6 linked regions of the Mus musculus genome follow. The protein of the gene in region 6 purifies or fractionates together with the protein of the main gene of each other region. This does not show direct contact. Links are inferred from orthologs where the notes say so. Each region holds a gene or a part of one and is shown on either strand. Other genes may lie near its edges.

What was found.
Region 1: the proteins of Mapk14 (region 6) and Dusp16 purify together in Homo sapiens (affinity purification with mass spectrometry; 7 studies listed by BioGRID and IntAct, counting the BioPlex papers as one, with this or other methods). This does not show direct contact. The link is inferred for Mus musculus from reciprocal best matches to the Homo sapiens genes MAPK14 and DUSP16.
Region 2: the proteins of Mapk14 (region 6) and Ccdc8 purify together in Homo sapiens (affinity purification with mass spectrometry; 3 studies listed by BioGRID and IntAct, counting the BioPlex papers as one, with this or other methods). This does not show direct contact. The link is inferred for Mus musculus from reciprocal best matches to the Homo sapiens genes MAPK14 and CCDC8.
Region 3: the proteins of Mapk14 (region 6) and Obsl1 purify together in Homo sapiens (affinity purification with mass spectrometry; 6 studies listed by BioGRID and IntAct, counting the BioPlex papers as one, with this or other methods). This does not show direct contact. The link is inferred for Mus musculus from reciprocal best matches to the Homo sapiens genes MAPK14 and OBSL1.
Region 4: the proteins of Mapk14 (region 6) and Iqgap1 purify together in Homo sapiens (affinity purification with mass spectrometry; 3 studies listed by BioGRID and IntAct, counting the BioPlex papers as one, with this or other methods). This does not show direct contact. The link is inferred for Mus musculus from reciprocal best matches to the Homo sapiens genes MAPK14 and IQGAP1.
Region 5: the proteins of Mapk14 (region 6) and Dusp9 purify together in Homo sapiens (affinity purification with mass spectrometry; 8 studies listed by BioGRID and IntAct, counting the BioPlex papers as one, with this or other methods). This does not show direct contact. The link is inferred for Mus musculus from reciprocal best matches to the Homo sapiens genes MAPK14 and DUSP9.

The regions. Positions count from the first base shown.
Region 1 is NC_000072.6:134,789,829-134,793,766, reverse strand, and holds the start of Dusp16 (dual specificity protein phosphatase 16), read left to right. Parts: upstream 1-1,138; 5' UTR 1,139-1,490; intron 1,491-1,954; exon of another isoform or gene 1,955-2,529; intron 2,530-3,938. UniProt on the Homo sapiens protein: Dual specificity protein phosphatase involved in the inactivation of MAP kinases. Dephosphorylates MAPK10 bound to ARRB2.
Region 2 is NC_000073.6:16,992,433-16,996,701, reverse strand, and holds the start of Ccdc8 (coiled-coil domain-containing protein 8 homolog), read right to left. Parts: upstream 2,801-4,269; 5' UTR 2,115-2,800; coding exon 57-2,114; 3' UTR 1-56. UniProt on the Homo sapiens protein: Core component of the 3M complex, a complex required to regulate microtubule dynamics and genome integrity. It is unclear how the 3M complex regulates microtubules, it could act by controlling the level of a microtubule stabilizer.
Region 3 is NC_000067.6:75,503,653-75,507,851, forward strand, and holds the start of Obsl1 (obscurin-like protein 1), read right to left. Parts: upstream 2,801-4,199; 5' UTR 2,573-2,800; coding exon 1,561-2,572; intron 315-1,560; coding exon 45-314; intron 1-44. Other genes in the region: Inha (inhibin alpha chain isoform 1 preproprotein), read left to right, coding at 3,596-3,866. UniProt on the Homo sapiens protein: Core component of the 3M complex, a complex required to regulate microtubule dynamics and genome integrity. It is unclear how the 3M complex regulates microtubules, it could act by controlling the level of a microtubule stabilizer.
Region 4 is NC_000073.6:80,796,832-80,800,331, forward strand, and holds part of Iqgap1 (ras GTPase-activating-like protein IQGAP1), read right to left. Parts: intron 3,119-3,500; coding exon 3,019-3,118; intron 1-3,018. UniProt on the Homo sapiens protein: Plays a crucial role in regulating the dynamics and assembly of the actin cytoskeleton.
Region 5 is NC_000086.7:73,638,127-73,642,240, forward strand, and holds the start of Dusp9 (dual specificity protein phosphatase 9), read left to right. Parts: upstream 1-1,314; 5' UTR 1,315-1,515; intron 1,516-2,066; 5' UTR 2,067-2,101; coding exon 2,102-2,678; intron 2,679-3,220; coding exon 3,221-3,676; intron 3,677-3,957; coding exon 3,958-4,114. UniProt on the Homo sapiens protein: Inactivates MAP kinases. Has a specificity for the ERK family.
Region 6 is NC_000083.6:28,725,842-28,729,341, reverse strand, and holds part of Mapk14 (mitogen-activated protein kinase 14), read right to left. Parts: coding exon 3,498-3,500; intron 3,117-3,497; exon of another isoform or gene 2,638-3,116; intron 986-2,637; coding exon 871-985; intron 439-870; coding exon 367-438; intron 1-366. UniProt on the Homo sapiens protein: Serine/threonine kinase which acts as an essential component of the MAP kinase signal transduction pathway.

The sequences.
Region 1 (3,938 bases), on a different chromosome or scaffold from region 6:
AAAAAAGCAAAAGCAAAAGCAAACCAAAACAAACAAAAAACCCAAACCCATGAAAGACTTGGAGTTAAAGTAGGCTCAAGTAGGTCTTGCATCTCTTGAAAGCAAGTGAACTCTGGTTTGACTTAAAGATGATGCTGTACTACCGATGTCGAGAATACTTACTTAATGTGTAAGGGCGTTTTGATTTCATGTTTGTGTGTGCGCCCCATGTGTGCTCGGTGCCCATGGAGGTCAGCGGAGGGCATCAGATCCCCTGGAACTGGAGTTACAGATGGTTCTGGGCTGCCATGTGGGTGCTGGGAATCGAGCCGTCAGTGCTCCTAACAACCCTAAAATACCTTTAACGTCTTATTACATTTTATTTGTGTGTGTGTATTACATTTTATTTATTTATTTGTGTGTGTGTGTGTGTGTAGCGGGGTGGGGAACAGCATGTGGACTGAGGACAACTTTCAAAGGCGGTTCTCTCCACCGCATGGACCCTTTACTTGTTGAGCCATCTCGAGGGCACGCAGAAAAGATTCTTTTAGAAAAAATAATTCTTGGCTGCGTTTGCCCGCACTCGTGTAGTAGGGTCTTTCAAGGACGAAGACATAGGTGAAGATATGTTTGATATCACCGGTGCAGTTTTCCTTCAAGTACCTGTAACTTCCCTCTCAAGAGAAAAGCCCCGGATTTGGGATTCCGGGACCTTCTTACAAAATGATTGACTGCAGCACTCTCAGATCGCCTTGCTTTCCTTCCCCTAGAGTGGGGGCATTGGAGCAGCCGCCTCCGTCGGAGGAGAGACCCCAGCGCGGGCAGGAGGCGGGCGGGCCACAGACCCAGGCTCCCGGGCCGCGAACCCGGAGCGCCGAGGCGCCGCTCGGTCGGCCCGGTACGCGACCCGAGCCCGCCTCCCGGAGGCTCCGGAGGCTCCGGCTCGCGGGGACGAGCGCCGAGGGGCGGGCGATGCGCGGCCTGGGCCGGAGACCCCGCCCCCCCACCCCGCCCCCCGCCCCGCCCTCGCCCGTCTCCTCCTTTCCCCCCCGGGCTCCGCTGAGTTCATTCACTGGGATTGGTTTCAAGTGACGCCATCTCTTTATTTTTAAACCGATGACCTCATCCGCGCTTGAAGTTTCCTGACCAGCGACTCTTTCTCTCTCCCCAACCCCCACACTACCCCCCCTGGTCCCCTCCTGCGGGCATCACCGTTTGGGGGGGCTCTCATCCCGTTTCCAACCATTTACCCTCCCCCTCTCGCTTTTCCCGCGCGGACCCCCAACTTTACCTCAACTTCTTCATCCCTGTCGACATTTTTTTTTCCCTCTTTCGGGGGGCGGTGGAAGAGAAAGTGAAGAAAAGTTGCAAACGCCCGGGCTCTCGCTAAGCTCTCCGCCCACCCTTCAGAGGAGAAGCCCCGGCGGCGAGGAGGACGCGCGAGCGACGGCTGGGCGACGCGGTGACAACGCTCGCTCCCCTCCGCGAGCCTGGAGCCGGCGGCCCCTCAAGTAAGTGTTCGCGGCGGGCCGCGGGCCGGCTGGGAGGCGCGTCCGCTCCTCGTGCCGGCCGCCGCGCGCTCTCCCCGGCCGGGGGCCGGCGGGCCACGGCGGCCCGGAGCGGCGACGGCGGCGGCGGGGGGTGTGTAGGCCGCGCTGGGGGTCGGCCCGAGCCGCGGGGGCGCCCCGGCCTCGCCGCGCCGAGCGGGCGAGCGGGCGAGCGGGCGAACGAGCCCCGGGCCGCGGGTCGCCGGCACCTGGGCGGGCGAAGCTGCTCACTTCCAGACTGTTACACAACACGCCTGCCAAGTGGGGCCCTGACTGTTTCCATAATCCCAAATTCACCTTGTGTGTGTGCAGGCAGCCAGCGAGGCCACCTGGGGAGCGACCGTGTCGCTTCCTTAAACAAGGAAAAAAAAAAAAAAACCCACCCCCAAAACTCAACTTTCATTCCGGGGCTCCCGTCACGGTGTTGGAGGAAAACGGTCCGCCGGTGACTCCTTTATTTACAGTAGCTGTAAAATGTGAGACATGAAAACGGGGAAACAACGGACGGTGTGTGTGTGTGTGTGTGTGTGTGTACGGTGTAGTTTCACGTGGAAAAAAAAAAACCCTAAGGAGGACATACATGCAAACTCTTTAAGAGCGACGGGTTGTTTCCTACAGAAAGCTGATAATACACTTGGGGAAAGTACAAGGAGATCTTAAAATGAATGGCTTGTGCAAAATTGGAAAGAACTTTTCTTAAACGCCTGTTGCAAAGATCCTTGGTGTTTTGAAGTCCTGTGTGTCTCAGATTGTTTGGAGAACGCACACCTCTAATCAGCCCATGATTAGAGAGGAAAAACCTGTTGCATAATCTCATTTGCTGTGGGGTTGGCTGTGCCGTCCCCTGAACCAAGGGGAAGTGAGTTAGGATGAGGGTTTTTAAACCTCTGAGGTTTTTATTTACACAGTGCGCTGGGTGCCACTTTGCTTTTAAAGATTGTAAGTAAATACTCTGCTCTTACAAGCGAATCAAACCTATCGAACCTGCTGGGAAAATGACCAGGTATGTGTTCTCTCCTGCTCACGTTATCTCTCTCTCTCTGAAATAGATTCTCAGGGGGAATAAGCCTCTTTGGCCACTCTGTGGAGCTTGATAGTACATACAGTTAACAACTACTTCCTCAAAAAGCCTACACTTTTTCATCTCCCTTAAAGAAAAGACCTTTAAAGGTAAATTTCAGAAGAAGGGGAAAAAAGCTTAACAATTGAGACAATTCAAATATTAGCGAGCACACTGTGGGAGGCTGTAATTCAGATTTATAGAATTCTCTATTGGGTGAAGACCAGTCGCTTGGAGAAGTAAATTGAAAACTGAAGTGTCTGTGGCTTTGTGTATTCTAGTCAAAATGTGACCAGGCACTGCAAAAGGGTTTTGTCTTTATGTAAAAAATAAAACTGTGGAACTTATTGTGTTTAAAGACATTGTGGAATGTTGATATTTTCATAACATTTACCATCTTATGGACAAATTCAGAACTTCAGCTTGAATTATTAGTTTTAAGGTGTAAGATTTTGTGTTTATCAGAGTTCCAAATGGGGAGAAAATTCGAAGTAAGTTTATTTTGCATTTTAGTAAGTGGTGAATAAGCTGATGTTTAGAAAGTATAAACTGTTGATAATGATAGTTACAATTTTTTGTTTTATTTTACTCTCTGGTATCTTAGCAACTCAAGTGAAATACTTATCCTAGAATTGTGCTGATTTTCCTTCAGTGTTTCAGATGGTGAGTTTCAGTAGACAGGGCCAGGAACAGAAGTACACAGTTACCACTCCCTCCCCACCCCTCACTCTGTTCAGTTTGGAAGTTCTTGTCTCATAGTTCAGCTTGGTGAATGTAGTTGAGTACCTATAAATTTAAAATGTTAATACGAAATTGGGGGTTCCTGGTCTATTTGAACAGAGGTTTAATTATAGGAATTGAGAAAGGGGTCAAAGAGGAAGATCCTGGTAACTCAGTTCCCCTCTCTCCTGCTTTCTTACACATTGAAGATTTATTTGTAGAGTGGAAAAGAGGAGGCAGAGGTCAGCTGGTTTAAGAGTCTGGCTGGGGTTAGGTGAGGACCTAGGTGTAAACTATGTTCCCTCCCACATAGAGAAAGAGTAGGTCTGAGAAGTTTGAAGGAAGCTTGGCTCGAGTTAGAGAAGAACAGGAACAATGTTGGAGTGTTAAAATAGCTTTTTTTTTTTTCTTCTCTAACTGCCTGAATTAGGAAATTGAATTTCATAGAATTTTCATTATCTGGACTTAATATATTAAACAAACAAGTTTATATACATGTTCATTGTTAAGCCTTTTCTATTTTCACCCAACCATAAAGTCCTGTAAAATATAACTTGATATCATTTACCAGTGTAATTTATCCTAGAGTCTTATGTGTTCCTGGTATTTCTAACAAAGACATTTTTCTGTTG
Region 2 (4,269 bases), on a different chromosome or scaffold from region 6:
AGAGGCATCCCAGTAGCTAACAAAGGCAGGCAGGGGGCAGGGGCACTGGGCTTCCCTTACAGCTGTTCTTCTTGCTCTCTGTGTTCCACATCTGCTCTGATGTCAGCCCTTAGTACCCGGAGGCTCCTGGCCTCACCTGCCCTGGGGACTCTCCTGGGCAGGGTTGGCAACCTGGGAGTGTGCCAGAAGACTCTCCTGCGCATGCGAAACCATGAGAAGCGTCCTGGGGTCTGGAACCTCACTGTCTTTACCTGTTTCTGGGCCCTAGATCCCGAACCAGCTGAGGCTTCCTGTATACCCTGAGGTCCTGCCTCCTCCCTCTGGTCATGGAGGACCCCTGCCCTTTGGTCAGCTAGGACCTCCACCCTCTGATTTTCTGTAGCACCAGTTCTTTGGTTAGCTGGGCCCTCTGCCCTCTGACTATCTATGGCTTCTGCCCTCTGGTCAGGTGGGACTCCTGCCCTGAGATAAGCTGCAGCCTCTACCCTCAGATTAGCTTCAGCCTCTGCCTTTGGACTAGCTGCAGCCTCTGCCCTTGGACTAGCTTCAGCCTCTGCCCTTGGACTAGCTGCAGCCTCTGCCCTTGGACTAGCTGCAACCTCTGCTCTTGGATCAGCTGCAGCCTCTGCCCTTGGACTAGCTGCAGCCTCTGCTCTTGGATCAGCTGCAGTCTCTGCCCTTGGACTATCTACAAGCTCTGCCTTCTGGTTAGCAGCAGCCTCTGCTATTGGACTAGCTGCAGCCTCTACTCTTGGATCAGCTACAGCCTCTGCCCTTGGACTAGCTGCAGCCTCTGCTCTTGGATCAGCTGCAGTCTCTGCCCTTGGACTATCTACAAGCTCTGCCTTCTGGTTAGCAGCAGCCTCTGCTATTGGACTAGCTGCAGCCTCTGCTCTTGGATCAGCTGCAGCCTCTGCCCTTGGACTAGCTGCAGCCTCTGCCCTGGGACTAGCAACAGCCTCTGCCCTGAGACTAGCTGCAGCCTCAGTCCTTGGACTAGCTGCAGCCTCTGCCCTTGGACTAGCTGCAGCCTCTGCTCTTGGATCAGCTACAGCCTCTGCCCTTGGACTAGCTGCAGCCTCTGCTCTTGGACTAGCAACAGCCTCTACTCTTGGATCAGCTGCAGTCTCTGCCCTTGGACTAGCTGCAGCCTCTGCCCTTGGACTAGCTAGAGGCTCTGCCCTCTGGTTAGCTGCAGCCTCTGCCCCCTGGTTCTCTGCAGCCTCTGGGTGCTCCTCAGCTGGCATGCCTGTTCCCTGAGCGAAGGGTGGCACCTGCTCCTTCCTGCATCGTCTCAGGGAAACCCACTTGATCTTGGGCTTCCAGCGTCTAGTACCCAGCATCTGGTCACTCCGGTCTCCTGTGTTTCTGGAGCTATCATCGTCCGAGCTGGCTTGGCTGTGTCTCATTTCTCCAGCCCTCTCAGCTGCTGTGGAGGCCTGCTGGGTCTGGCCCACCTCGGAGCCTGATCTGGGTGCCCAGCCCTTCACCCTCTGTTTCAGCTTCCCCCAGGACACCTGGCTAACATACTCCCTCCATCTGTCGGCCTTGGATGGCTGGGGCCCCAGGTTGTTCTCAAACATGGGCACTGGAAGATTGACTCGGCGTCGTGGAGGAGGCGCGCTGGGCTTCTCCCCACGGCGGAGGAAGGCCTCCACCAGCTCCTGATCATCCTCACTCTCCACATCGCTGCCCAGGAATTTGCTGCCCAAGTAACTGACCGGCATTTTGCGCACCTTCCTGGTCCTCCCGGAGGAGCTCCTGTTGCCTTTGACTTTGGAGGTATCGAAGTCACTCAACTCACTGTCGCTGCCATTGCTGCTGTCATAGGTACCTACAACCAGCCGAAGTGGAGGAGTGACCATCTGCGGGACTCTCCTCACTCTCAGCTCCTTGGTTCTTTTGCGGGGTTGGGGTGGGTGTGGAGTGCTCTTTTCGATGATACGGGCCACATCTTCCAGGGTGCGGCCCTCCTCCTGCAAAAACTGGATTAGCCGCTCCCGAAACTCAGCTTCCTTCGTTGCAGGCTTGGAGATGACTCTCCACACGCCCCCAGCCAGGCGGACCTCCCGGGGGATGAGCAGATAGTCAACATCCTCCCCAATCTGCAGCATCCCCACCGTGGAGTCCTCTTCTTTGCGGAACACCTTTCCGATTTTCTTAAAGGTGCCCACAGGCCTTAAGGCCTCCACTAACACGTCCAGATCGACATCTTTGCAGACGTCGGGGACACTCCAGAGGATCAGGCAATCGGGAGACGGAAGGAAGCCCCAGGGGAACCATCCCCCTACGTGGCTTTTTTCGAGAGTCTTTAAGATCTCCAGCGTGGACGCTCGAGTGGGGGCAAAAAGCCCAGACACTTGGCTGCTAGTCTTGGGGAGGGGGCGGTGGACAGTCCTAGCAACTCTGCTCGCACAGAGTGTCTCCTCCCTACAATTTTCTCTTCAGGAAACAAGTCCAAGTTGGCTTCCCCAACCCCCTCGGAGTTGTAGCAAGCAGTTTTCCAGGATGCTTACATGAACTGAAGCACGCTCATTCCCGAGGCTCAAAGTTCAGTCCAAACTGGAATCGCCAGTGTCCCGGCTCCAAGTTGGGGTCCCACGAGCTCCGATCGCTTCTCCCTTGCCCCAGACACCAGGATATAGCTGAAAGTTCTTGGGAGGACTCTGCAGACAAAGACGGCTCAGCGTGGCCTTTCAATATGGCGAGGTGCTTAAAGGCCTCCGCCCAGCCCCGAGGAGGGTCTCCCGCCCCCAGGCAGTCTGCCACCCGCTCCAAACTGACCTTGCGCTCAGTCTGTGGTGGAGCTGAGAGCCGCAGGAAGTTTCTGGGCGCCCTCCCCTCCTGGGTGAGGCCCACCTTCTCCTTCTCATCTTACACTCTAAGCCTGGGAAGACTGGCAGCGGGGCTGTCCACTCCCCTTCAGGGCAGCCTCCCTCTCCTCCCCCACAGAGGTGTGGCTGCCCCCCAGAGCCTCAATGGGGCCAGGGCTTCCCTTAGCTGCAGCCAAAACCCACGTCATCATCCTTCCCAAAAGGCAACGGGTCCCCCAACCTGCCATCCTAGACGTGCAAGCCCAAAAGGTGCGAGTGCTGATGGCTCAAATCCTTTGAAGGCTATTGCAATTATGAACGTGCGTTTAAAATTAAGGGGATGGGACTAGAGGTGGCTCAATGGTTAGGAGCATGGGCTACCTTTATGTAAGACCTGGGTTTGACTCCCAGAACCAATACGATGGCTCAAAACCCTGTTTATTTCCAGTTCCAGGGGATCCAATACCCTCTTCTGATCTCTGTGAGCACTGCATATACGTGGTACACACACACACACACACACACACACACACACACACACACACACACACACAGAGAGAGAGAGAGAGAAGACATTCATGCACACAAAAAGGGGCACACAAGATAACCCAATGGGTAAAAACATTTCCCCAAAGCCTGAATTCAATCCCAGAACCCACATAAAACCAATTCTACAAAGTTATTGTTCAATCTCCACATGTGCACCCCTATACACAGATTGTACATATATTAATTCACACACGATAAACACGGGTTTTGTTTGTTTGTTTGTTTGTTTGTTTGTTTTTCGAGACAGGGTTTCTCTGTGTAGCCTTGGCTGTCCTAGAACTCACTTTGTAGACCAGGCTGGCCTCGAACTCAGAGATCCACCTGCCTCTGCCTCCCAAGTGCTGGGATTAAAGGCGTGCGCCACCATGCCCAGCCCGATAAACACGTTTTTAAAGTAAAATATTTTCTTGGAGTTGGAGAAATGGCTCCATGGTTAAAAGCACAGGCTGCTCTTTCAGAGGACCTGGGTTCAATTCCCAGCACCCACATAATGCTCATAAATGTCTGTAACCCCACCTCTAGGGGATTTAACACCCCCCCCCCACTGATATACATCAAAACACCAAAGCACATAAAATAAATATATTTTTTAAATAAAAAATTTTCTTAAAAATAAAAAAACCTTTAAGATCACAGAGATGTTGTACCCTCAGTTCTTAGTTTATGTATCCCACGTGGCCTCAAACTTTCAGGGATCCTCCTGCCTCAGCCTCTGTCTACTAGGCTTTACGTAGGCCACTATTATCAGGCTTAAGCAACAACAACAACGGCCAGGTAAGGAAGTGACTTTAATATCAATATAAGAACATATATCAGGCATGGGATGCACACTTGTGATCGCAGTAATTGAAGGCAGGGGGATGAGGAGGGTAAGGTCACTCGCAACTTCAGAGAGCTCACACCAGCC
Region 3 (4,199 bases), on a different chromosome or scaffold from region 6:
CGAGACACCACCAGGTCTCAGCCTCCTCCCACTGGCCAGCTGACCTTTGACCGTCACATTGGCCACAGTGCGCACTCGGCCCCGCATCTCGCACAGATAGACGCCATCATCATCGGCCTTCAGCTTGTGGATGACGAGGCGTCTCACAGCGCCCTCCTCGATCTGCTCGTACTTGCGGCAGGGTAACAGCCGTTGGTCCTCCCGGAACCAGGCGGTGGGAATTCGAGAGTTAGGTACTTTACACTCCAGCACCACAATCCCGTGTTCCCGACCCTCCACATCCTGCAGGGGCCGGGTGAACCGTAGGCGGGGTTCTGTAGAAAGAGAAGGAGAGAAGGCTCAGGAGCAGGAGCAGGAGCGAGAGACTAGCTGAGGAGGATAACACATACTTGCTCTTCCTAGCAGGCTAGGAATGGCGGCCGAATTCCCAGCTAAGTTAGTTGGCCTAATTCCCAGCCTGACCCCGATATCACCTTGGACACGTCTTATAACATTTCTGGGTCTCAATCTGCTCATGTGTTAAATGGGGGAGGGGAGGCGGCAAACATTCAACCAGATCAGTGGTTTTCAAACCGTCCCTAACACTACACAGCATCTCCCAATTCTTCAAGGATCTGCATTGAATTTCATTTTAATATAGCATTCTAAGCATTTCAAAACCATATTTCGGAACTTGGAAACCACCAGAGAGTTAACTTGCTGAGGAAAACAAGGTTTGGCCCCACTGGGAGAAGTTTCTTTACTTTCTTGAGGACATTGCAGTTTCTCACTGGCCTGGCAAGTCTGAGCAGGACGCAGTGAGGACACTGTCACAGCTCGGATACCACACACTTGGTTAAGTGTCAGGCAGGACTCAAGGGAACTTCCCAAGCATGTTTTCCTTGAAGGAACAAGTTGGGCAATCACCAGTGAAAATGTAACCCCTCAAATCGTGGTGGTCAAGTCCTATTAAGGGGAGCCTTAGCTTCCAATGTGACTCGAGAGTGCCTTGTTTTCTCTGGATTTTCTGTTCATGGGTACTGAAAACGTGTAAGGTCACCTCTCCCCCCCATCTCTTTTGCTTTCATCTTCTTTGAAACTTAAAAGAATCCAGACTGGCTGGTGTTTTTCCTCTGACACATCCACCTCTCCTGTGAATGAGCAGTGGCTGCTGGGAGGTTTGCACCAGCCTTCCTAACAGATTCCGGGCCCCCGAAGCTGTGAACACAGCCTCCACTCCAAATGTGTGTTTTCAATACAGCAGCCCCCTTTTTCTCACCGATTAGCATATTATAAATTTAGCCCTAGTTATTTACTCCCACAACATGCTCCTATTATTTTACAGATATTGCTACCAATGGGAATCCAGTTGGGAAAGAAGGCCTAAAAGAAAGAATAAAGGATAAGAATGTTCTAGGATTGTTAAGATTTACACAGTCTATTCCTTGGCTTAGTGGTTTTTACCACCTGGGTAGCTGGCTAAGAAATTCATCAGTGTACTGGAATTCAATATTCCTCCGGACATGGGGGTGGACATGAGCAAGAAGGACCTCTGGGGGCACTGGAAGCACGGTGCTCTACCTTTCACGTGCAGCTGGACCGCGCTTAGGGTCTGGCCCGCCGAGTTGCGCGCCGCGCACACGTAGAGCCCACGGTCCTTGGCCTGGCAGTAGAGCACCTTAAGTACAAAGCCGCCGTCGCGGTCGCGGTACATGAGGCGGCGGCGATCGGGGAGCAGAGGGCGGCCCTCCAAGTGCCATTCGATCTCGGGCTCAGGTTTGCCCATCACGTAGCAGCGGAATTTGGCGTGCTTGCCCTCGTTCACCCAGAAGGTCTTGGGCGCGCCTTTGAGCGGCTCCAACACGGGTTTGGGGTTCTCATCGGGATCCTGGGGCGGGCTCTCGCGGGGCTGGTGCACCTGGAGCAGCGCGCCCGCCTGCGCGTGGCCGTGCGCGTTGCGGGCGTGACACACGTACACCCCGGAATCGGGCAGCCGTGCCGCCAGGATGCGCAACGTCAGGCTCGCGCCCTCGTCACTCGCGCCGCGGCCGGGCTCCAGCTTGAAGTGGCTGCTGTCCCATACTTCGTCCAAGGCCATCCCATCCTTCTCCCAGTACAGCTTGGGCTCCGGAAGGCCTCCCACCTGGCACGTCAGCACCACCTCCTCCCCTCGCAGCACCCACTGGGACTGGGGCCCCGTCAGGAACTTCGGGGCGCCCTCCCCGGTGCCCGGTGTTGGCAGCGGACACTCGGAGGACTCGGGCTCCGGCTCGGGGGCCGGGGGTTCCAGCACGGTGACGGCGGCCGCCGCGTAGGCCTCTCCGGCCGCGTTGCGGGCGCGGCACACGTAGACCCCGGCGTCGGTGGGCAGCGCGCCGCTCAGCAGCAGGCCGTGCTCGGCGCCGTCCTCCGGAAAGCTTAGGCGCTCGGAGGCCACCAGCTGCTGCCCGCCTTTCTCCCACACGACAGTGGGCGGCGGCTCTCCCAGGACCACGCATTTGAGCTCGGCCTCCGCTCCACTTACCACCCGCACGGGCCGCGGGAAGCGTAGGAAACACGGGGGGCTCCCCTGATCCCCTGATCCGGCCTTCATTGCGGCCGCTGCAGATGGCTCGCCTGGGCGCGCGGGAAGGCCGGGAGCCGAGACCAGGGCGTGGCGGAGCGGGCGCCGGGACCGGTGGGACTCCTGTGACCGCTCGCCTCTTTACCCTGGACCCTGGCCGCAGCCCTGCTACGCGGCAATTCCCGGGCCGGGAGCCCAGAGCTCAGGGGGCTGTCCTTCCTGTTTGCCTGCTCAGCGAGGGGCCCTACAGCCTAGACTGCCCGCGGCCGGGCTTCCTGCTCTTGGGAGTCTCTCTTTCCAGCCCCCTCCCACAGCCTGGGCCTCTTTCTCCTCCCTCCCTCCCACCTCCGGCCTCCAGGTCTCCAACTGCGGGCCTGGCTTGGGCTTGAGTGACTTTGTCGCCTGCAGCTGCCAATCCCAAAAATATTCTCTGATGACACAGCTGGAGGACAAGAGCTCAGACTGGCTCCTCCAGGCTAAGTATAGAGCAGGCGGGACCACCTGCCCTCGGCCCAGAGCCTCAACCCTAGGTCTACCCTCCCACGTTGGCCTAGCAGCTGCTAGGATTGAAAAGAGCGCCAGAAAGTCTGAGGGGGGTGGTGCATTCTGTCCTTCTGACAAATGATTTGATGACTGGTCAACCTTAAGCACCCAGGCACCTGTGGTACCTGATGTAGATTCTATGTGTGTGTGTGTGTGTGTGTGTGTGTGTGTGTGTGTGTGTGTGTGTGTGTATTTGAGGAGTGGGTTGTATGCTTGCCTGAATGGGTCAGGTCACTTGGGGTGAATACCCATCACAGCCCCTTCCCCCACATTCTTGGCGGGAGTGGGAGATAAGGCTCAGGGCCACAGACATCTGCGTCAGAGATAGGAGGTCTCAATGCCATGGGCAGGGGCGACTGGGACTGTGGGGCGTGGGAAGGACTGGGGGAGACTGGGGTGAGAAGGGTAGAAGAAGGCCAGCAGTGGGATGGGGAGGGGACAGTGGGGAGGTCCTAGACAGAAAGGGCACAGGGCAGCGTGTGGGTTCCCTGTCATCAGGGCAAGTGAACTATGGTGAGCCAGCGGTCTCTGCTGCTCCTTTTGCTGTTGACCCTACGGGATGTGGACAGCTGCCAGGGACCCGAACTTGTCCGGGAGCTCGTCCTGGCCAAGGTGAAGGCTCTATTCCTAGATGCCTTGGGGCCCCCAGCAATGGATGGGGAAGGTGGGGATCCTGGAATAAGGCGTCTGCCTCGAAGACATGCCGTTGGGGGTTTCATGCACAGGACCTCTGAACCAGAGGAGGAAGATGTCTCCCAGGCTATCCTTTTCCCAGCTACAGGTAATGAAGTTGGGGATTGGCAGGTCAACTTTGAAGAGTAGCCGGTACCTACTTCATGGGCTTGGGAATCAGGCAGCTCTGGGTATGAATGGCAGCCCCACAACTCAGCTGGCTTTGCGGCAAGGGGCCAGTTCCTAAGCCCCTCTGATCGACATCAAACAGGTGGTAGCCTCTACCTCAACATCAGATAGGTGGTAGCCTCTACTTCTCAAGCGGGACTGATCCAGTGAGCCTAGCATGCCTGGAATACAAAAGGGGAAGCTAAGGCTCTGTAGAGACAGCTTCTGTTGCTGCCTGTGGTCTGTCCTGCGTTTTGTGCCCCCTACTCTCCCC
Region 4 (3,500 bases), on a different chromosome or scaffold from region 6:
ACAGCTATTATGCCCAGAGCTTTAAGTAAAGAAGGAAGTAAATAAGAATATCATAAACATCTTTACTGCCTAAAGTAAACAACCAACTGAAAAACCCTTCAGGGACTAGTGGTCTCTCGATGGGTTGCATAATCAGGCTACTTTTCTATCCCGGAAAACACGCCTGTCAGGAAGGACATGCTCTAACGTACTGCAAATAAAATGTTGCCAGCGCTGCACCCGGAAAGAAAGTGTGAAGAGCATCATTAACTTCTAATAGGTCAGAGTCTAAAACCATTCAAAGAAAATTTAAACGTGTTAAAAGTACGAATATCCTACTTCTCAACTAGGGTAAGAAAGCCGATCTAAATCACTTAAGGTATTTGAAATATTTAGGTATGAAGCTGGGGTATGGCTCGGCAGTAGGACACTTACTGAGTGTTCGGCAGTAAAACCCAGATTATCCGCATTTGTAAAAACTTTCGCAAGAGATTCTAATGCACATACCACATACCCAGTTGAGGACCACTGCGCAAACAATGAACATTCCTTAGCCAGAAAACTATGGGAAACTATGCCAGGTGTAGTGGCAGACAACTTTGTTTGGCACTGGGCTCAGGGCTCTGTCATTCTCAGCTACATTGTGAACTCCAGGCCAGCCTAGGCTACATGACCCCTCCCCCTAAAAGAGAAGCTACAGGTAGGCTAAGAAAGCTCAGGCCTTGGTTTTCTCACTGAAATGAGGTGGCTAGTCGGGACAGAAGTTGACTTAGTGTCAGGAATGGAGCCCCACACTTAGCAGGCACAAGGCTCGAAACCTCAAGCACTTCTGGAAAAGTAAAACTCTTACAGGTAGGAGAGGGACTCAGCAAGCTGATGTCTTCCTTCTCATTCCCGATGGCTCAAGGGAGCACACAAGATGGCTTCTGAGACCAGCTGCAGCTTACAAATTCCTTGACCTTCCACAAGGAGAAGTTCACAATTTAAGTGGCAGAGGACTTAAGTGTTTGTATCCCCTTACAAACTTCCTAGGAGGAAATGTCCCTTTTCTCACAGTACCTTCTTCTCTTGCTCCCTGCAGTTCCATTTGCCATCACATGGGGAAAGCAGCTCGGAGGGGCAGCAACTGCTCTTTATGCCTCATCCCTCCCTGGGCACTACCAAAACCATCGTACTAAGCTTCCATTTCGAAGACAAGTGTCAGCTGGGCAGTGCTGGTACACAACTTTCATCCCAGCACTCAGGAGTCGGAAGCAGGTGGATCTGAGTTCAAAGGCAGCCTGGTCTACAAAGTGAGTTCTAGGACAGCCAAGGCTTCACAGACAAACCCTGTCTTGAAAAAAAAAGAGAGAGAGGGAGAGAAGGATAAGGGGGGAAGAAAGAATAGGAAGAAGAGAAGGAAGAAGGAAAAAGAGGAGGAAAAAGAGGAAGAGGAGGAGGTGGTGGCAGTGGTGGTGACAACTGGGGAAGACTAGTGTCATTATCGATAATCCTCACCTACCTTACCACTAATATCTTTCTCTGACTTTCTGAAAAGGCTTTAAACTCAGAGAGGCAGCTGAGATTCAAAAAGACAAATAGGGGACAGAAAAGATGGCTCTGGAGTTAAGAGCCAGGTCCCATTCTAGCACCTAGGAACTCCTAGGTTGGCCTACAATCTCCTTCAACTCCAGTTCCAGGGAAGCCGCTACTTCAGTCTTATAAAGAGTCCAGGGCAGGGTGCCAAGGGGACCATATCTGGGGCAGTTTTTGTCATCTTTAAAGAAAAGGGAGCTCTGAAGGGCTTCTTGGGCCTAGGAGCTCATATTTACTGCCAACTTTCCTGGCCAGCTCTTGACAATCAAATCAAATTTCCACTCTTGTTTTAATCATCTAAAACATCCCTGGTTTTCACTAAGCCTGGATGACAATTATCTCCCATTATTCTTCAGTGTACACGACCTATAATTGTGTTTATCTGCTCTGGAACCTTGCAAAGAAATGTAAGCAACACAACAAAAGGAACCACTGATAACAAACTGACACCCTAAAATTAAGATCACAAGGTCTTGAGATATCTGGAGAAGATAAACAGCAGCTGAGTATCCTCCTCATAAAGAATGCAGAGGAGATGGGTGTGGTGGCGCATGCCTGTAATCTCAGCACTTGGGAGATGCTAGTGGGAGGACCAGAGAAGCCTCAGCAGCAGGATGAGTTTGAGGCCAGCCTAGGGCTGAGATTCCCATCTCAAAAAAAAAAAATGTGTGGCAGCATTGAGTTTGCGGAAAGGCCTCGCCATGCTGCTGGTGGACAGATCTATAGCTACGGCATGACCCTCGTAAGAAGGTTCTGCAGTTTTCTTCTGGCACTGGGTGTCTCCCAGGACCTTGAGCACTCAACAAGTACTTTACCACTCAGGTATGTCCTCAGCCCCTTTCAGCTCCACCCTTACCAGCCCCCTAAACCTAATACCCACTCCATGAGTCACCAGGAGATGGGGCTCAATACACAAACCAAAACCCTGAAGAATTAGGAACCACTGAGAAGATCAAGAACATCAAACCCTAACTTAAAACGTTATTTCTGACAGCTGGCAGTACCCAAAACAACCACTACAAACAGAAAGGCTGAAAAACACAACTGTGGAGATCTTTCAGCAGGCACAAGTGTTCGACAGAGTGTTTCATCATAACCCACCACGGCCCACTTGTTCCCATGAATAAACACTCTACACTTATCCTACCTACTTACCCTTTCAACTGCCAGCCGCCAACACTCTTACCTAAAACATAATGCACACAGAGAGCCACCTGTGGAGGCTGGGTAGACAGCTCGGCAGTTAGGAACACTTGCTGCTCTTTCAGAGGACCAGAGCTGGGCTGCCACCACCCACATCAGGTGACTGTAACTCCAGCCCCAGGGAGATCTAAGGCCTTCTAACCTCCACTGGCAGCCATACATGGATACCAGAAACCATACACAGAAATGAAAACAACTCTTTTAAAGGCACAGCACATCAGCTCCTTCTCCCAGGCCACTCTCCAACTAGTCCCTCCATACCTCTTTGCTTCTTCCAGATGACAAAGGTATTCATAAGCCACGTTCTGCCGTCTCCGCTCATCCATCTCCTCTGCAGTGAGCCTCTCATTATCCAGGACGGCTAAAACAGAAAGGAAAGAGTGTAAACACCAAGCTCTGTAACTTTCCTCAGCAATAAATGAAGGCCACCACCATCAAATTGCTGCTAGTCACCTAGAAAGGCAGGCTAACTAGTGGATATATGGGTAGCCAGGGGCACTACAAATGATTTTCCTAAAAACAAACCATATGGTTTCAACTACATTCATCTTACCATATATACACACATATATATATATATACACACACATACACATTATTATATATTATATATTATATATTATATATTATATTATATATTATATATTATATATTATATATTATATATTATATATTATATATTATATGTGGGGGGTGGTAAGGGGTCATAGAGACATGTCAGCAGTTAAGAGCACTTGTTGACC
Region 5 (4,114 bases), on a different chromosome or scaffold from region 6:
CATCCATGGCCTCATGCCACCACTAACTTGTCCACAACATAATCAAGCCCCAGTCAGCTCTTGCCAACACTTGGCGTTCTCATTTTGAGAACATTCTACTAATGTAGTGACTGGGAAGTATTTCCCTATTTTTTTGAATTGGCTTTCCTTCCATGCCTGAGCTTCAACCTTTCCCCATATATTCTTACCCCATCACATTCCTTCCTTTGGGCAGAGTATGCAGTCCTTGAGTTCCTTACCCATTTATCTACGGGGTCTTAACCCTTTGATTATTTTGTGCGAGCTTTATCTTATCTGTTGTGTGTTTTCCTTTAAAACTGTTATTTGCTTTTCTTGGGCTTTTAGCAGAGAAAGGACACATGGCCAGATGGGGCTTTTTTAGAAGCCTCCCCTGCCTCTCCTTTCATTGTCAGCACTTATCACCCCGATATCTGGTCCAGTGCCTTTGCTTATTGTTAGTGTGTCCTGCTGGACTAGAACACCCAGGCAAGGAGAGCCCTTGTGTGTCTTTCCTGTTCATCACCTGTCCAGTGGGCTGGCTGGAGGCCACCAGCCTTAGTGGACTGAATGGTGCTCTGGAATGGGGCAGGGTGGAGACACGCTGAAGTTTCAAAAACTGGGACAGTGACTTGTATAGTCATGACCACTAGAAAAGCCAGAAGGAGAATGGGGATGGGGACATATTGCAGTAAAACGACTTCTTTCCACGTGGATCCATCCAGGGGCTTATGGGAAAGAGGCTTTGGGGAGGCGCCCCTCTTCACCTGATAAGAGCACAGTGTCTCAGTTTAGAGTTGGGTGCTCGGAATTCTTGTGTACCTTTAGCTAGGCCTGTACAAATGAAGCCCAGATGGAAATAGCACACCCAGGAGCTGCCTTGTGCCTTCAGTTTTTTAGTGGCATCTCACAGTAAAATACATTAGAAGGCTCTGATTGGCCCATTATACAGATGGGGGCCATCTAGTTCCAGGTAGTTCAGCATTATTGAGTTGTTTGAGACAGTTTCTGGTTCTGGGGCTCTGGGCTTTTGTCCCCACCCCTCTTCCTGCTTCCAGGGACCAGACTGGCGCCAAGCAGGGGCAACTGCAACATGTCCCCTGCTGGGCCCCCGACCTGCCCTTGGCCTCTGCCCTGACCCTGTCCCGCCTGGGTGGAAGCCCTAGCTCAGCCTGCGGCTTGCAACTCCCACCAGGCTTTTCCTTAGCCCTGGTTGGCTCTCCTGCTCCCTGAGCCCGCCCCACCGCCCCGCCCCGTCCCGCCCCTTTGAGCTGCTACTTAGTCGGTCCGAAGGCAGAGCCTTCCAAGGTGGAATCTGGATTCTGCTGCCAGGAAGCGGCCGGCGCACGAGTGGCGCGAGGCTTGGCTTCCACGTGCGAGCCTGCTCCACCACCCCGCCCTCTCCGAGCGCCCAAGCCTGGGGGATCCGTCTCCATGAACGATACCTACGCCCTGCCGTGGCACTAGCTGTGGCCAGGACGTCCGGGTGCAGTCGCCTGCCTCTGGATCTCGCTCCAGGTCTCTCCTTTTGTTCTCTCCTGGGGTGGGTAGGAGTGGGGCCGAGTCAGCTCTTACGGGACTCGCCGAGGCCCACAACCTCGGTGACCCTCTTGTTCTCTGGGTCTTCCGGGCTTTAGAGGAGAGCCGGGCCTTGAACCCAACTTCTCCACACATCCAAAATTGAACTTGGGGAGTGATGGAGATCAGAGCAAATGAGAAAGTCAGAAAAGGGGTGTGGAGGGAACTGGTTTTAGTCCTCCTAGCACTTCAGAGACCGGTAGACGCCCAGCTATCTTCTGGGGTATGTCTCACGAAAACTCCATGTAAGCGGGGCAGGGAGCAGCGCCCAAGTGGCGGCAGCCTCGGGTCTTTTTCCAGGGGCGCCTTCCTTGGTGTTCTCACTGTGGGTGGAGCGCGAGGAGAGAAGCAGGCGGTAGAGGAATGTCCCTGCGGGGACACTGAAAGCCTGCCCTCAGGACAGGGGTTGACTTCCCGCCTCAGTAGCCTGATCCACGCTGCAGGAGTAGAGACAAACTTGCCCTCACTCCGCGCCTTGCCTCTCTCCACAGCACCCACTGCCCGACGTGCAGGACGCTGCGCGACCATGGAGAGTCTGAGTCGGTCATGCCTGTGGCTGCGTCAGGAGCTGTCGTCCCCGCGCCCACAGCTTCTGCTGCTGGACTGCCGCAGCCGGGAGCTGTATGAGTCGGCGCGCATCTGCGGGGCGCTGAGCGTGGCCCTGCCCTCGCTGATGCTGCGCCGCCTGCGGAGGGGGAGCATGTCGGTGCGGTCGCTCTTGCCTGGGCCACCACTGCAGCCTCCCCCACCGGCCCCTGTGCTCCTGTACGACCAGGGTAGCAGTGGCCAGTGCCATCGTGAAGCAGCGGAGGCTGAAGCGAAGGCCGAACCTAAGGCTGAAGCGGAGGCCGAACCTAAGGCTGAAGCGGAGGCCGAACCTAAGGCTGAAGCGGAGAACGAAGCGGAGGCTAAAGCGGAGGCCAAAGCGGAGGCCAAAGCGGAGGCTAAAGCGGAGGCCAAAGCGGAGGCCAAAGCGGAGGCCAAAGCGGAGGCTAAAGCGGAGGCCAAAGCGGAGGCCAAAGAAGAGTGGGATGCTGACTCGGTGCTGGGCGTCCTGCTCCAGAAGCTGCGGGAAGAAGGCTACCCAGCATACTACCTACAGGGTAAGTGAGGGTCAGTGGCCTGAGAGAGCACTCTGGAGAGGCCTCAGGTCAGGAGAAAAGATCCTTCTTTCCAAGGGGATTTCATAATTACTTTATCCTTCAGCAAACTCAATCTTATTTTGTCTAAAATATAGGGTAAGCGCCTCCCTCCTGATAACCTGCCCAACAGCTTTTGGGGAGGCAGAGCTGACCGTGACCTTGGGCAAGTCCTTCATCCCTCCAAGCCCATTTATAAGTCTGGATAATGGGGAGAATTGACCTGAAACAACCTGGTTCACAGGATAATGCCCCAAGACTAAGGGCTGCATTGGGCACTTATCAGCCAAAGAAACAGTCACTAATGCTGAGTGAGGGTGGATGGCTGTCTATAGCACAGCACATGTGGTTTAAACAAATCTGCTGGCTTATGCGTTCCCTTTGGCAATATCTGCAACCCCCACCCCGGAGAGCTGTGTGGTGTCAGCTCCCTAGCCCCAGCTAGGGATACTTGGCTGCCCAGAGGCTATATTAACTAGTAAGACCTCGCCCTTCTTTCCTGACAGGTGGCTTCAGCAAGTTCCAGGCCGAGTGTCCTCACCTGTGTGAAACCAGCTTCAGTGGTCGTGCCGGCTCAGGCCTGGGCTCAATGTCTAGCCCAGTGCCTGTGGTGGGGCTAGGTGGCCTGTGCTTGAGCTCTGATTTCTCTGATGCAGAGTCTGAGGCTGACCGTGACACCTTGAGCTGTGGCCTAGATTCTGAGAACACCACATCCCCTCCAGCTGGGCTGCTACCACCCTTCCCAGTCCAGATCCTGCCCAATCTCTACCTAGGCAGTGCTCGAGATTCAGCCAATTTGGAGAGCCTGGCCAAGCTTGGCATCCGCTATATCCTCAATGTCACCCCCAACCTTCCTAACCTCTTTGAGAAGAATGGTGACTTCCACTACAAGCAGATCCCCATCTCTGACCATTGGAGCCAGAATCTGTCCCAGTTCTTTCCGGAGGCCATTGCATTCATTGGTAAGTCCTCCCTACTTTGTCCCCCTGTCCCTCCCCCTCCACAATCTCCACCCACCAGACTGATTCTTGGCCTCTCGTCCTCCTGACTCCATTCCCAGAGCCCACGTGACACTTGGGGAGGTGGGGGTAGAGCTCAGGTCAACTGCCAGTGAGAGAGATCCTTCAGATATGGTCTCGGCAGGGTAGGGAGGCAGTGATGGTGATCCCAGAAATTCGTATAGCTTTGGTCTCACTCATAGTGACCCTTAGGGGGTGTTTCTGTTCTGTCCTGTTTTACCTAGATGAGGCCTTGTCGCAGAACTGTGGGGTGCTCGTCCACTGTCTGGCAGGGGTCAGCCGCTCTGTCACTGTCACCGTGGCCTACCTCATGCAGAAGCTTCACCTCTCACTCAACGATGCCTACGACTTGGTCAAGCGGAAGAAGTCTAACATCTCACC
Region 6 (3,500 bases):
CAAATAGGACAGGACTCAGCGGGCGTGTCAGCAGAGGGACCCACAGTCTGTTTAGTACATAAGCAAATGTGAGAACCAGATACCTCTGAATACAGGTGGCCGTGTACACTCACCAAGGATTTTCAGGAATAGACTAAACTCATTAATAAAGGGACTTGCTGCAAAAATATGACAGGTGAGTTCTAAGCTTGTTTTCTCAACCCCAAAGCCTTTTCTTGGCAAGGTGAGCAACTCAACAAGAGGACAGACCTCAAAAGCCACGCTGGAACTGCAAAGAACTGAGTCTTCCCCACCAATGAGTTAGGGAAGCACACATCTACCACAGCACACACATGAGAAACAGGGCCAAAACGTGTTAAAGGATACGGTCTGTACCAGGAAACAACGTTCTTCCGGTCAACAGCTCAGCCATGATGCAGCCCACGGACCAAATATCCACTGGAACAGTAAAGAGGATACAAGCACCGACATGGTTTCTATTCATATTCATGGACACAAATGACTCTAACTATGAGTGAGAGATTCAAGTCAGGATTTAAGACACCCAAGGTTTGACAATCTTTTTTATATAGAAACAAACTTATTAAAATTGTCACTCAAGAAAAGACTCCACAGGTCGTGCAACTCAGAATATAATTAAGATAAAAGAAATAAGCAACTCACAAAGGGGCAAAACTTTGTTACTGGTAAATGGTGAATCCTCCCAGGAAACATAGGTGTTAGGATTAAGAGACCACTCCCCTCAGGTAGTGTCACAGAAAGAATGACACGGAAGACGTAAGAAGTAAGGCCCCAGCTGCTAAGTCACCTGAAAGCCATGTTAGGGAGCACCCCTTCCCCATCTGGGGAGGCGACTGAAGCAGTCAGTACCTGTCTGGTTATAGTGCATCCAATTCAGCATGATCTCTGGGGCTCGGTACCACCTGGTAGCCACGTAGCCTGTCATCTCATCATCAGTGTGCCGAGCCAGCCCAAAATCCAGAATCTAAGGGCAAGAGCAGAAGTCAGGCATGGGAGCAGCAAGTTCTGCTACCTCACAACCAGGAAAGCAGAAAAGTCACTTTCAGAAAGAGGGCACCCCAGTTTTCACTTAGAATGCATGACATGATAAAACACTCCAAGAAACTTTAAAAATAAAGCTTCAAGCAAAGCAACCCCCCCCCCCATTTACTCAAGGATAAAAACATATGCCCACACGGGTGTGCACAGGAATGTTCACAATAGGTTTATATTCCGAACCACAAGTGCTCACTAATAGGACAGCAGCGTACAAACTTTGGTGTGCTTATGAAAAGGAAACTGCTGAACAACTGGGAATGCTGGAGCACACAATACAGATGAGCACACAATTCAGTAATGTGCATGACCCTCGACAGTTCCATTTATACGAAACAAGATTAATCCAGAGTCAGAATTGGGTCAGTGGCTGCCTGCATTGAATGAAGGGTGAGAGTCATGGGTCACTAGGAGGGGACACTCAAACCTTTTGAAACTATGGAGGTTACTATGTCATCACTGTGGTTACATGGACATTACAACTCTACTGTAGTCTCTCCTCCCCCAGCCTGAAACCTGCTTGCTCAGGGGTGGAGCTTCCCGCTCATCTGTTCTGTCACGCCCACTGCTAGAACCTGCGGAGCCACACACGTGCACCTTTTTACTGGACCAGAGATTATTTGGCGGAAATCGGGTCCCCTCCCCCTTCTTTTATAACTAGTGTCCCAACAATAAAATTTGAGCTTTGATCAGAATGAATTTATCTTGGCTCCGTTTCTTCTTTCGCCCCGTCTAGATTCCTCTCTTACAGCTCGAGTAGCCTTCTCAGTCGAACCGTTCATGTTGCGAGCTGCTGGCGGCCGCAACACTCTACAAAGAAGTACATTTCTTTTCCTTTTCCATTTCATGTACATGGGTGTTTTGCCTGCATGGATATCTGTGCACCAAGTCTGTGCAGTGTCCACAGAGACGAAGAGTGGGCATCAGATGCTCTAGATGCAGATGGCTGTGAGCAGCCATGTAGCTGCTGGGAAATGAGCCATCTCTCTAGCCCCCTGCAGACATTTCAAAAAATTCATTGCTGGGCAGTGGTGGCGCACGCCTTTAATCCCAGCACTTGGGAGGCAGAGGCAGGTGGATTTCTGAGGCCAGCCTGGTCTACAGAGTGAGTTCTAGGACAGTCAGGGATACACAGAGAACTGCTGCCTTGAAAAACCCAAATCCAAAATAAATAAATAAATAAATAAATAAATAAATAAATAAATAAATAAATAAATAAATAAAATCATAAAAAAGCATAGTGCTACTTCCTTTTTTTCTTTTTCTTTTTTATTAGATATTTTCTTCATTTACATTTCAAATGCTATCCCGAAAGTTCCCTATATCCTCCCCCTGCCCTGCTCCACAACCCACCCACTCCCGCTTCCTGGCCCTGGCATTCCCCTGTACTGGGGCATAGAATCTTCGAAAGACCAGGGGCCTCTCCTCCCACTGATGGCTGACTAGGCCATCCTCTGCTACATATGCAGCTAGCGACACAAGCTCTGGGGGGTACTGGTTAGTACATATTGTTGTTCCTCTTATAGGGTTGCTGACCTCTTTAGCTCCTTGGGCAGCTACTTACTTTTTTTTTTTTTTTTTGTATGCTGCTTTATTGTATGCTACAGCCAGTGTATATAAAATAGTTAAACCTTGTGAGACAGAAACCCATGGAATTCAGAGAGGTAGATGTTAAGGACTGACGAGCAGAAGATAGTGTATTATGGCACGTGTTAAAGAGAAGCTTTTGTACAGACTTCAAACTTAGCTCTCTTGAATAGTCACTGGTTCATGAAAAGTGGTTTGAGAAACCTCAAGATAGATGACTACAAAAAGGAGCAGACTTTCTGGGGTCTGAAGGGATTTGTACTTGAAGACCCTCCAGTCAGCAGAGGGTCATGTTGAGCATTCTGCAGACAGAACTGCTTCAAGCCTGCAGCTGCCAGGGAAACCTTCACGCGGTTCAGCCCGGCCTCCAGCCGGAGCTGCTGAACCACCTTCTTCATGGCGGCAACGCTAGAAGAACCCAACATGGCGCTCGGGACAGCAGGGCTGACTCGTCAGTCTGGGCAGGGGGCAGCCTCTACTTACTTTTTAAAGACTTAATTTTAATTTACTTAGGTTTTATTTAGATCATTCTGAGATCTGCAATTTTTCCTTTTAGGAACCTATCTAATTATCAGTGTTCCAGGAAGGCTTAACTGACATTTAGACTATAATATCCCTTTATTACAATTAATGTGTTGCATTTCTAATTTAATTATCTTTTAAAAATGAAAACAAGATACCGACATCTACTTCCAAAGTTACTTAAACAGCTTGTTCAGCCTAGTTCAAGTCTCACAGTCTGATATTCCTAAGGACAAATGACTTTTTAGATAGCAAGTCGTGGCTTAAGTGTGGTTGGTCACGATTCTGGGGAACACTTAAGAGAAGCAAACAGTCCATCTCTTCTTTCTTACCTT